3 linked regions of the Coturnix japonica genome follow. The protein of the gene in region 3 interacts with the protein of the main gene of each other region in a biochemical or structural test. Links are inferred from orthologs where the notes say so. Each region holds a gene or a part of one and is shown on either strand. Other genes may lie near its edges. The genes, in order: VEGFD, LRRK1 and FLT4.

The links.
Region 1: the proteins of FLT4 (region 3) and VEGFD form a complex in vitro, tested with the Homo sapiens proteins (2 studies listed by BioGRID). The link is inferred for Coturnix japonica from reciprocal best matches to the Homo sapiens genes FLT4 and VEGFD.
Region 2: the proteins of FLT4 (region 3) and LRRK1 form a complex in vitro, tested with the Homo sapiens proteins (2 studies listed by BioGRID and IntAct, with this or other methods). The link is inferred for Coturnix japonica from reciprocal best matches to the Homo sapiens genes FLT4 and LRRK1.

The regions. Positions count from the first base shown.
Region 1 is NC_029516.1:109,964,639-109,968,285, reverse strand, and holds part of VEGFD (vascular endothelial growth factor D), read right to left. Parts: intron 2,573-3,647; coding exon 2,362-2,572; intron 1-2,361. UniProt on the Homo sapiens protein: Growth factor active in angiogenesis, lymphangiogenesis and endothelial cell growth, stimulating their proliferation and migration and also has effects on the permeability of blood vessels.
Region 2 is NC_029525.1:15,837,450-15,841,631, reverse strand, and holds the start of LRRK1 (leucine-rich repeat serine/threonine-protein kinase 1), read right to left. Parts: upstream 2,914-4,182; 5' UTR 2,769-2,913; intron 2,587-2,768; exon of another isoform or gene 2,406-2,586; intron 312-2,405; 5' UTR 173-311; coding exon 106-172; intron 1-105.
Region 3 is NC_029528.1:4,697,164-4,700,810, reverse strand, and holds part of FLT4 (vascular endothelial growth factor receptor 3), read left to right. Parts: intron 1-209; coding exon 210-318; intron 319-999; coding exon 1,000-1,359; intron 1,360-1,574; coding exon 1,575-1,721; intron 1,722-2,296; coding exon 2,297-2,428; intron 2,429-2,677; coding exon 2,678-2,784; intron 2,785-3,042; coding exon 3,043-3,178; intron 3,179-3,647. UniProt on the Homo sapiens protein: Tyrosine-protein kinase that acts as a cell-surface receptor for VEGFC and VEGFD, and plays an essential role in adult lymphangiogenesis and in the development of the vascular network and the cardiovascular system during embryonic development.

The sequences.
Region 1 (3,647 bases), on a different chromosome or scaffold from region 3:
TGTTTGTTTGGAGATGACATCCAGAATAAGCTTTTCCATCACCTTCCAGGGCCAGAGGTGAACTGACTGCCCTGCAGTTTACCAGATCCTCCTCCTTGCCCTTTCTGAAGACTGCAGTGTCACAGGCTCTCCTCCAGTTCTCTCCCATTCTCCATGACCTTTCAAAGATGATAGAGAGCAGCTTGGCAATCACTTCTGCCAGCTCCCTCAGCTCTCATGAGTGCATTCCATTGAGGCCCATGAATTCGTGTCCATCAAGGTTGCCTAAATGACCCCTGAGCAGATCCTCCTTGACCAAGAGGAAGTCTTCCTTTCCCTAGGCTCTCTCTAATCTCCCAGGTCTGGGATCCCCAAGAATCCTGTCTTAGCAGTAAAGACCAAAACAAAGAAGGTGTTCAATAACCTGGCATTCTCAGTGTCCTTCATTACCAGGGCTCCTACCTCATTTCAGCAGCAGGTCCACATTTTCCCTAACCTATTTTTTGCTGCAGACATACTGAAGGAAGTTTTTCTTGTGCTTTGACCTCTTCCACCCTGGCTGGAGTCTGGGATGCTGTGGGAGATGGTCTAATAGTGAAGCAGTGAATAGCCTAGACCCAGACATCTCATCATAACACTTTACTAAAACAAAACAGATGCCCTTGGCAAAGGGGGTCAGTGCTTACTGACTGGAAAGAGCATGGGAAAGAAATATACGTTTACGAGTTTGTAGGCTTTGCTTTGTTTTCTTGGGCTTTTTTTCTGTTTTTGTAAGGAGCTTTAGTACCTTGAATGTATTAAGATATTAGAACAAAGACGTTTCTGTTCTGGAGTAATTCCACTTTGGATGAAGGAATGGAGAAGATGACCCAATAGGCTGACATCTCTGTGTCTAAAGTTAGATCTTTAAAAAGAAAGTAGGAAGTGACCTAACAGCTGTGCCACGTTGTTATAAAAGAGTTATATCTGTACGCCTACAGGCGTCTGACATTACCTAAACAGTTATATTATTCTGCCACTGAAGAAAGCCTATTACGACATCCTTTGTTTTTTCACTGTATTGACAAAAGGATTATTATTTTTTTCTTTTTTCTCCAGAAATACCGATGCTCACTAAATGAGCAACAGTGAATAGAGAAAAATTGTGTTTGACCATTGGTACTACTTCTGACAACATCGGTTCCTAATGTTTATGTACAGACTTGTAAAGGTGTTAAAATGAAAAGCGTGTCAATAGTTAAAGCCCTCTTAACTGTTCTTCCTTTGTATATTGGATGTTGTTTTCTTCTGTTGCAGGGTCTCTTTTGTTTTGTTTTTGTGTATGTGTGTATTTTTATTTTATTTTATTTTCAATACAAATGTTCTATTAGAAGTTTAAAGCCATGCCTGTCATATGAAAGCCATGTTCAGACTGGCATTCATCTCTGTATTTCTGTCCCATGTCTTAGAGAAGCAAATTAAGGCCTTTGCTTTGCCATAAATTAACTGAAATGTAGAAGTAATAGATATGAAAGTGACACTAATGGTGTGCAAATATAGCTGTGGTTATTGCAATAGTGATGTTGGAACAGAATCAGCAATATCTGATTTCCCCAAAGGAAAGTGATATGGTCATATAGCTTCAGATTCAAAACTGAAAGAAAAAATAGCTTTGTCAGTACTTGGCCAGGCTACAGAGTAGCTTTGCTGTAGGATATCCACCTCCTTGACAGAAGCAGAGCAATTGATCCTTTATTTTACATCAATGATCATATAACGGCCTTCTTCTCTCTCACTTACAGGGAACAGCATTCATTTTTGCTTCAAGAGAGGGAAAAGATTGTGATTCCCTGGACTTAGGTACTGACTGGCAGTTTCAAAGCCTACTTCTTATCTCCAGGGAGATTTCCTCAAACAGAGTAAGAGTATTAGGACAATAGCTCCTCCCTCCAGTTTCCACCCAGACACTAGTACCGATGCAGTGCCTTAGATCAGAGTGCACTTCATTATAAATGGAATTTCAATGCCTGTTTAAAGCTCATTTGTTTCTGACTGCAAGTAAATTCCTGGATCTGGCACAGTGCTGCTGGCAAGCCCCTCAGCCCATCAGTCCAGACCACTCTTTGCATGTTTATTTCCTGTCTGTCCTTGGACTGATTGATCCATACATAACAGAACTCTTCTTTGGACAATATACAGTACAATAAGCCTGATTTGGCCATAAAAAGGGAGATGTACTCAGGCCATTGCCTGACATTTTTTCATACAATGTCATTTTCCATTAATATCCTGCTGTTTCCAGTGCAGGTGTCTTCTAGGAAACCCCTGGTACTTAACCCATTACTGCATAAGATACAGCGGTCCTGAAGCTGGAGCTAGACTCAAATGCAATCCTGCACTTACCTTTCAGTGTATCGATATCATAGAAAGCAGCAGCAAATCTGGTGGAGCGATGTGATGCAGAGCGGGAGTCTAAATTGGCCAGGCTTTTGAGTTTTAGCCTGCATTTCCACAGCTTCCAGTCCTCAGCATGAGTTATTCGAAGGAGCTCTTCCAGGCTGGATGCTCTCCTGATCTGCTGCTCTGACCGCTCCAATGCTGACAGAGATGTCCTCTGGAAGGAAAGGAGGAAATCAAAAATCCAGAACCTTTACAGAGCTTCTGGATGCTCTTACGCAAGAGGCAGCACATTGCTGAGAGCAGCTAAGAAAAGCTGGAACAACAGCTACCGGTTTCTGATGGCACCTGAAGTCACCTCAGGTGCCAAAATGGGTGTCTATCAGGAAACATCACTGCAAGAGAAGTTGATAGAGCCAGAAGCTGCCCGGAGTAGAAGGGCCTGTCCACCTGGTGGGCAAACACAACATTCAACAAACTGCAAAGTGCAAGGTACCTATTTCATTTCCCACCCTACCATGCAGGGCAGACAAGGTGGCCTCAGTTCCAGTCTCCATGTTTGGCTGTGCAGCACTGTTACCTCAGTCACTCATTTTCTGCCTTCTTGATGTATATGACCATTCTTTAGTCCCATGGTAGAAGATTCCTTACAGAGGCCTACTCCATTAGTTTAAAGTCGTTAATCTTTACCTTTTTAAGGTAAACAATGCACAGCACTCCACAGCAGTGCTTGATTATTTGACTGCTGCCTTCCAGCATTTGTGTTTATGCCTTTACTAAGACAGTTTGTATTTATTTCCAATGACTCACTGAGTCTGCAGAAAACTATTGCCTTCAACCCAAGCAAAAGGTTATCATTGTGCATGACTGCATTGCACTGGGCTGGTGCTCTCAGTTGTGCTCTCTGTTCATGCAGTTGACTGTACTTTTTGACTTGCAAATTAAGGGCTGCTCTGCCAGCTCTCATAAATAATGCACCATGTCTTAAAGGCAAAGCCGAAAGACAGAAGCTGGTGATGAGGTAGGCAGCAGCCTGCAGTCCCAACCAGTAGCCAGTTAGTTTTCTGCATAAGGCTGGAGAAAAGGTAAGGGGAAGAATTACCTACAAGAGGAAGATTTTTAGATGAGATTTAAAACCTAGGCACTAATCACATCTGTTATTCATTATTAAAACATCTGTGGCATTTATTTTGCAATGATACAGATGTTAACTTGTACATTCTGGCCAAGTTCATTTTTTGCATAATTACCTTCCACTGACCTAAAAATCCCTAAGCAGTTAACTCGGAATA
Region 2 (4,182 bases), on a different chromosome or scaffold from region 3:
GCAGGGGGGTTGAAACCAAATGATTCTCATGGTCATTTTCAACCCTTAATCCTGAATCCTCCCGCTCCCCATCTGTGCAGGTAGAGAAGCAAGTTGCCCCATTACCGTTCTGTGGCTCCATGTTGCTCTCTCTGGAAACAGCGGATTCCTCCGTCCCCACGCACCAGTACATTCTGGGTCTGAGTGGTGAGGATCCAACAGAGCAAACTTTCTGCAGCGCCTCCAACTGAGCGTGGTCAAAGCTGAACGTCAGCTAAATGCAGGGCAGAGCGGCCGCTACCAAATGCCGTCCTGATGGAGCATCGTTTACCCTGATTGGAAATCAACAGCAAAACAAATTAAATCATTCCGGTATTGATATTGCAAGCAGTGCATCCCCATGCACTCCAACACGGCTGAGAACATGCTGCTTTGAAGAAATACACTACACAAATATGAACGCAACGATTTTCATAATAGCTTCGTTAAGAGCGTAGCATGAATTAAGATGGGAAACAAACAACATCTCCTCTGCTGCTCCCAGTTTTCCTCCACCAAAGCAGCTGTGTCTGGGTGGAGGATATATGGGGTGGGCAAAGGGTCACAGTTGCAGCCCCACATTCCCCACAAGCCCTGTGAAGGCAGAGGGCTGAAACAATGAGACGCAGCTGGAAAAATCCTAAAGGCAACCTCAGAACCTTTCCCACCCACAATGACTGCAGCTCTGGTGTGAGAAGCTGGAAAACGCTGATGTCGACACTGAGAATCCTCTATAGAAAGAAGAGGGCTCAGAGAGACACAACAGCTTCCCTGCCCTCTTCTTTTAGTGAAGTCCAGTGCTCTCAAAACAGCTTCTTGAAGTGCATCCTGCATGCAAACCAAGCTTAGGAGCTCTCATGCTGGCTGCATATGGCTCAGGTGCCTTCCAGGGCATTTCTACCTTCTCACCTCTTCCAGTCTACACGCCTGTAACATTTTCTCCCTTTTTTTTTTCCCCCACACAAAACCCCTTTTCTTTATCCATAGAGATTAAAGGCTGACTTTGCAGTCGGTGCCCAGCTGACACCAGCGCTCCTTCATTTTCTGCTTTCAGTTTCAGTCTGCAAACGCATCTCAGATTCAACACAGCAACCTTTCTCACCTATTAGATCCCTATTAGATTTTCTCACGTCTGCTGTGCAGTGCCGAGGTTTGGACCAGAAGCTCTGACTGAACAAAATACACGACGCACCTCCTGGTTTGGTAAGCAGGGCCCAGGTGTGTGAGTGGCTTCCTGAGCTGGGGATGGGGTCACTGATCCACCACCACCACCCTAAAGCTGCCCGCTCCTTCCTCACTGCACACACAGCACTTTAACCACAAACCAAGTGTTAAAAAAAAGACCTCACTGAATGCTTCATCAGCTGTTTCCAGGCAAGGGTTTGAGTTTTAGGTGCACTTATGGCAAAACTCGGCTTCTGCTGATCCCTATTTTATGGTGCCTGGCAGTGGGATGCACAGCTCAGAGCTGGGCAATGGGCGAAGCCACATACTGCAGTTTGGTGCTTGGGAGCTTCTCAAAGATGGGAAAATTGATTTGGGTGATCACAAGAAAAGAGGGAAGGGCTGCATGGAGGCACCTGCACACCCACCCCACAGCTGAACCATTTTACAGCCCTAACTCCAAATGGACACAGGTGTGCAGACACAGCCCTGCATCACGGCCTCCATTCATCAGAATGCAGCCCCAGCACCTGGAAGGGGCTGAGTAAGGAAACTTTCACTTGGGGGTGTGAATATATGCTCTTCATATACAGCAAAAGGAAAAGCAATAGCACAATTTCAATCACTAGTTCCCTTTAGCTGCAGCTATGGCAGCGAGTGTTGAGCTGTCAGTGCGCCGCTGTATTTCCGTATTTCAGGGCCTCTGTGTCTATTAAAAACACCCCCACAGCGCTTCTACCTTAACCAAGACGTGCCCAGCTGTAACACGTGCAAATACCGCGTGTGGATTTGATGTAAGGAGAGAGAACGGTGCCGTGTGGGTCCACTGAGCTCCGCAAGAGCACGAGAGCACACAGCCGGGGGAGGGCTGCAATGCCATCACATGTATTCCCAGCCTCTCTCCTGGGACGCCGTCACCGCGTTTTGCTACGGTGCAGCCCCACGGGAAAAGCACGACGGAAAGGGAGAAGCGAAGGCGCTTCGTGCGTCCAACTGAGCAGGAAACGGGACCATCGATCCCAGCCAGCTCCCGTCTGCCGCCCCCCCCTCCGAGCACACGCAGCGCCCGCCGCCCCCTCTCGCTCCGCAACTTCGCTCCCAACTTTCTTTCTGAAGCTCGTTCCCCGCTTCTCTCCGCATTTTAAGTCCCCTCCCCCCCCCCATCCCCACCGCTTCCACCCGCCCCGCAGCCGGGGTTGCGCTGTGCCACGGGCAGCTGTTACCTCCTGCGTCCCGGGGCTGCCGGCTCTCCGGGGCCACCTCCTCCTCCTTCGCCCGCCTGGCTGTGCGGCGGGGGAGGCGGAGGGAGGAAGAAAGGAAAAGGAGCGGGGCAGCCGCGCGGCGCCTCCTCCACCACCGGCCCCGGCTGGGCCCGCCCGGGAGCCGCGGTCAGGGCGCGGTCGGAGCCGCGTCTCGCCTGGAACCCCGGCGGCTGCTCGGGGCGGTCCGGTCGGCAGCGCCTCTCAGCGCCCTTCCCCGCCGTGGGGCGCAGAGGGGACCGCGGGGCTGCCCCTGTGCCGGGCTCGTTCCCCACGTCCATCATTCGGTGTCCGCCCTCTCCCTCGGTTCGCCCTACTCGTGCTTACACCGCTTTAGTTTTGCGCGTTCTTATTCGGCAAACATTGGACGGCACAAGGGCCGCACCGCCATCTCTCAGCCGCGCGGGTGCTTCGCTGCTCGGATCCGTGCCCTGAAGCCCGGCCCAAGCCGAGCTCTGTTTTCTGAAGGCTGCTCCTTCCCCGGATCCCGGAGCTGCTCCTCCGGATAAACACAGCAGCATCGCCCCCTGCCTCCCGTCGGGCCGCAACCAACACGAGCGGTGCGCGCATCCCTGCCCACCGCAGCGCCCTGTACCGATATACGGCTGTATCATCCCCACCCCACGGACCTTGTGAAGGGAACGCGTTTCGGCGTGACTTATGTTATCCATAACGCTCCCTTCAACGACACAGGTCGTTCCCTGGACTTAAATCAAGAGATGGGGCTCTTGAGGATGGAAAAAGCCACACCCGTAGCTGCTGCTGCCTGAGGTTTGTTCTGCAGCGCTTTTCTCGCTGTGATTACGGAGTCACAGAGAAGCTGGATCCTCACAGGTGCTTTAAAGGGTGTTCAGACGGCCGTTAATCTGCATCTGGCTGCAGCCACCTGTTGGACACACTCTGCACTTTCTATCGCGTCTGCTGCCTTTTATGCCTCACGCTCTGGTTCTTAGACAGGCCCTTCTTATACTTTTCTTTTTGGCACCATTGTTTGGAATAAGAATAAAATCTCAGATCACAGTTTGTTTTGAGAGAGGCCACAATTTCCCTTAGCACGAATTTCTTCATCTTTTTTTTTTTCCTTTTCCAAATCTCATCCTGCTCTTCCTCCTGACTTTACTCATAACTCCATTGCTTACATCACTCTGTCCCTCTGTATCTCCGTGCTTCTCCCTTCTCACATTCGGCTGCAGAGCTCCCGAGTGATGCTGCTGCAGAGTGGAAAATGGATGGGATTTGGCTGTGTGTGTGTAGGGAGGTGGTGGCTGTTTGTATCTCTTCTCACCTGGTTTAGTGGTTGGTGACCCTGCCTGTGGCAGAGGGGTTGGAACTACATGATCTTTAAGGTCCTGTTCTACCCAGGCCATTCTATGCAAAGAGCGTTAAAAACGGTGCTATGTTCTTGCTCTGTCTCCTCTGCAGATAAAGGAGATAAGACAGGAATGTCTCATCATGGGGCAGTCATACAACAGTGGCTGTGTCTAAGAGGGTTTCACGAAGCCCCGTCTGGCAGCATGTTCTGCATGAAGCCTTAACCCCTTCCAGTGTGCAGGCAATAGAAGTTTCCCATTCCCATTCCTTCCTTGGAGCCACATCGATATGCAGCACACAGAAACTATTTCACAAAGTTCAACATTTATTAGGAACTATGACAAAAAAGATACCCATAGTCTAAAATATATACAAGAAGTTTAAACATAGCATTTTCATGTACCCTTGGCTATAAAAATACATTAGATTA
Region 3 (3,647 bases):
TTAAAGGGAGAAGATAATAGGGTGAAGTAGTAAAAGCCAGGATGGTTTTGTGAGTCTGATTTCCACTTATGGATAAATGGTGTGCTAGCAGGTCATCTGAGCCCATGGAGCAGTCATCTCGCAGCACAGGGCTGTCTGCCAGATAGCAGCACCAAACCTACTTTTCCCTTTTGCCCTTCCTAACATCTGCTGCTCTCTTTCCCCACCAGACAGTCAGCAAGTTGGCCATCCAGGAGGCCAATGTCTCAGCCATGTACAAATGTATTGCCTCTAACAAAGTGGGTCGAGATGAGCGGCTGATCTACTTCTATGTGACAAGTAAGTACTGGGGACATCCCCTCTGCCAGCGTCACCTGGGCTCTTTGCCTGAACCTAGCAGCCCCTAGATTTGCCAGGTGCCATCATTCGCACTTAGTGCCTTAAACAGTGACCAGGAAGCCATCAGGAAAGCAGGGTTGCCCTAGATTTCTGCTGAGTGACAAAAGCTTGGAGTTCTGGCAGCAAATCGTGCAGACAGACCTGAAGATAAGCTGGTGTGTCTGTGGAAGGTCCTGCTGGCCCAGGCAGCGTGCTGGGCTGGGGACGTGTCTGGTCCAAGAGCATCCTCTAGTGGCACCGCCAGCCCTGCTCCCAGGCAGGGTCCTGGCCCCAGCCCTTGGCATGGCCCCTGCTGGATTTTGGTGGTGGGAGAAAGCCAGGTTTGTAGAAGCCAAAGCCCGGCAGGGTGAGCTGAGAACAACCACTTTCAGACCTCCTAGACTTGTTCCACTTGTGACCCATCTTAATTTGACTCCGAGGCTTCAGCACAGCCCTTAGCATCAGCTCAGCTGCAGCTGTCAGTTGCTCGCAGCCTGCATGTTAAAGGCTCCAGGGTGGTTTCCATTTACCCCTGGCTGAGGACAGTGAGTTCTCAGAGAGCTGAGCCCAAGGAGTCAATTTAATTGTATCCAGCAGCTAAGCCAAGAAAACTCATCCACGTGTTCATTTCCTTCCCAAAAGCCATTCCAGATGGATTTGAGATCGAATCCCAGCCCTCAGAAGAGCCCATAGAGGGGCAGGACCTACAGCTGAGCTGCAATGCGGACAACTACACCTACGAGAATCTGCAGTGGTATCGCCTGAACCTTTCCAAGCTCCACGATGAGGAGGGCAACCCCCTGGTTCTGGACTGCAAGAACGTCCACCACTACGCAACCAAGATGCAGGGCGAGCTGCGCTTTCAGCCCGACTCCAATGATGCCACCTTGCTGCTGACCATCCCCAACATCTCCCTGGGCGAGGAGGGAGACTACGTGTGTGAGGTGCAGAACAGGAAGACCCGGGAGAAACACTGCCACAAGAAATACATCTCTGTGCAGGGTGAGGGTCAGCAGGGCAGGTGGGAGTGACTTGCTGCTGGTACTCTTGCTGCAGTCAGCTTCCCAGTCCATTCCTGGGGGAAGCCATGCAAGCTAAACTCGAGGTGGCAAAGGCACCTGGGTCCCAAGACACCCTCCAATAATGGGTTATAGACACAAAGTCCCCCACGAATGCAGATATTCTTTTGATCAATCCGTTTTGTGCTGCTCCTCCAGCCCTGGAGATCCCCCGCCTCAAGCAGAACCTGACAGACATTTGGGTGAACGTCAGCGATTCCATAGAGATGCGTTGTAAGGTGGATGGCAACCACGTTCCTGACATCAGCTGGTACAAAGATGAGAAACTGGTGGAAGAAGTGTCAGGTACATTGGGCTGGGGATGGAACAAAGGCAAGGTACCATGTCTGGTGAAAAGAGAGCTGAATCCTGTTTTTAATCATGTTCTGCCCTGGTTTGATGTGCTCTCAGTGGACAAGTCTGTGCCCTAGGGTCTGGATCAACGTTGTGTGCACATGTACATTCAGGTGGGCAGCAAAGAGAGCTGAATCCTTTTTCTTCTTGCACTCAGCTCAGTGCCGGGCATCTCTGCTAATGCAGGGATTGACTCAGATCCCATGGAAGGAATGTGGGAAGGATCTAGGCATATGGCAGAGGGAAAGGAATAGGTCCTGGAGGCAGAGCAGAGCTTGGTACACCAGCTGGAGCACCCAGGCACTGTTCCCAGTCCAACCTTGTCTGTCGGGTTTTGTTCCATACACTGCCTAAGGAAGGCCCTTCCAGTGTAGTTCTGGAGCCATAAGCCACAGAGGAGAGCTGGTGCAATTTAATTCTGCCATCTAAAATGAAGTGGCCAAAAAATAGAAGCCTTATTTTTTGCCTGAACGAGTTAAATCCCCTTTCCTTATTGAATGACCTCCATAACCTTCCTTGCCTTACAGGAATTGATCTGGCAGACTTCAACCAGAGGCTGAGCATTCAGAGAGTGAGGGAGGAGGATGCTGGGCTCTACCTGTGCAGCGTCTGCAACGCTAAGGGCTGCGTGAACTCCTCAGCTAGCGTCTCTGTAGAAGGTACCAGCAGACACAACACACCCTAGGGATGAGAGCATCCAAGTAGGGGTGTGTCAGAGGTCCCGTGCCTCTTCCCTGTGATGCCAGGCTGCAGGGTGGCAGGGAAAGCACTGAGAGCATCTGTAGTCCAGAGCATAATTTGATTGGAGCATGTCAACACACAGCTCCTTGGTCTCCCCACATCATGGAGCAGATCCCAAGAAACAGCCAAGCCTTTTCTCAAACTGCACTTTTCCCCCCACCCCACAGGCTCTGATGACAAGACCAACGTGGAGATTGTCATCCTGATTGGGACTGGGGTCATCGCTGTTTTCTTCTGGATCCTCCTTATCCTCATCTTCTGTAACATCAAAAGGGTACGTGGTTGTCTTCATTCTGGGGAAGAAGAGGGGGCTCAGATGGGCTTGGGGCAGCCCCATTGCTGTGGTGTGGGGCTATGTGACAGTGTCTGCTGAAAGAAGGTCGCTGAGTAGTGCTCCAAGCACCCTGACTGTCAACCAAGGATGGGGCACGTAGTAAAGATGGGGACATGGAACAGCCTTTGCCAGGGGAAAGCGGGTTGAAGGAGGCAAAGGAGGCATCTTCTCATGCACTGTGTTGGGTGATTCCTGCAGCCTGCCCATGCAGACATCAAGACCGGCTACCTGTCCATCATCATGGATCCTGACGAAGTGCCCTTAGATGAGCACTGCGAGCGCCTGCCCTATGATGCCAGCAAGTGGGAATTCCCACGAGACCGCCTGCGCCTGGGTGAGCTGAACCCCATCCCTGCCCCCACGTGCTGCATGCAGAGCTTCCCACCAGCCCCTGGAACTCACCCTCCAGATTTCTTACACAATCAGGGCAAAACAGCCCAATTCATAGGAGATATCCTGAGTTCAGGACTGGGATAGGATGTCCTCGTGCTGTGACATCCATCTGCAATCTCTTCCCTCTGTCTGGGAGAGGTGTAAGGGCTGCAGACCTCCTCTGAGACACAGAGCAGTGACATTAGCCCTGTCTGTTCTGCTGCAAGGTGTCTTATTTACCTTTTCCACTTGTTCTGTTTGAGGGCAACAAACAGCCTCTCACCACATTAGGACCATTTCCTTCCTCCACTTTGTCCATGCCAGCTCTCAGTTCCTCCCTTCATCCTTTCTCTTATTCTCACCTCTAAAGCAAGCAGCCACCTGGGAAGGGCAAATATTGCACTCCTTCCTTTTCCTTTATGACTCTTTTT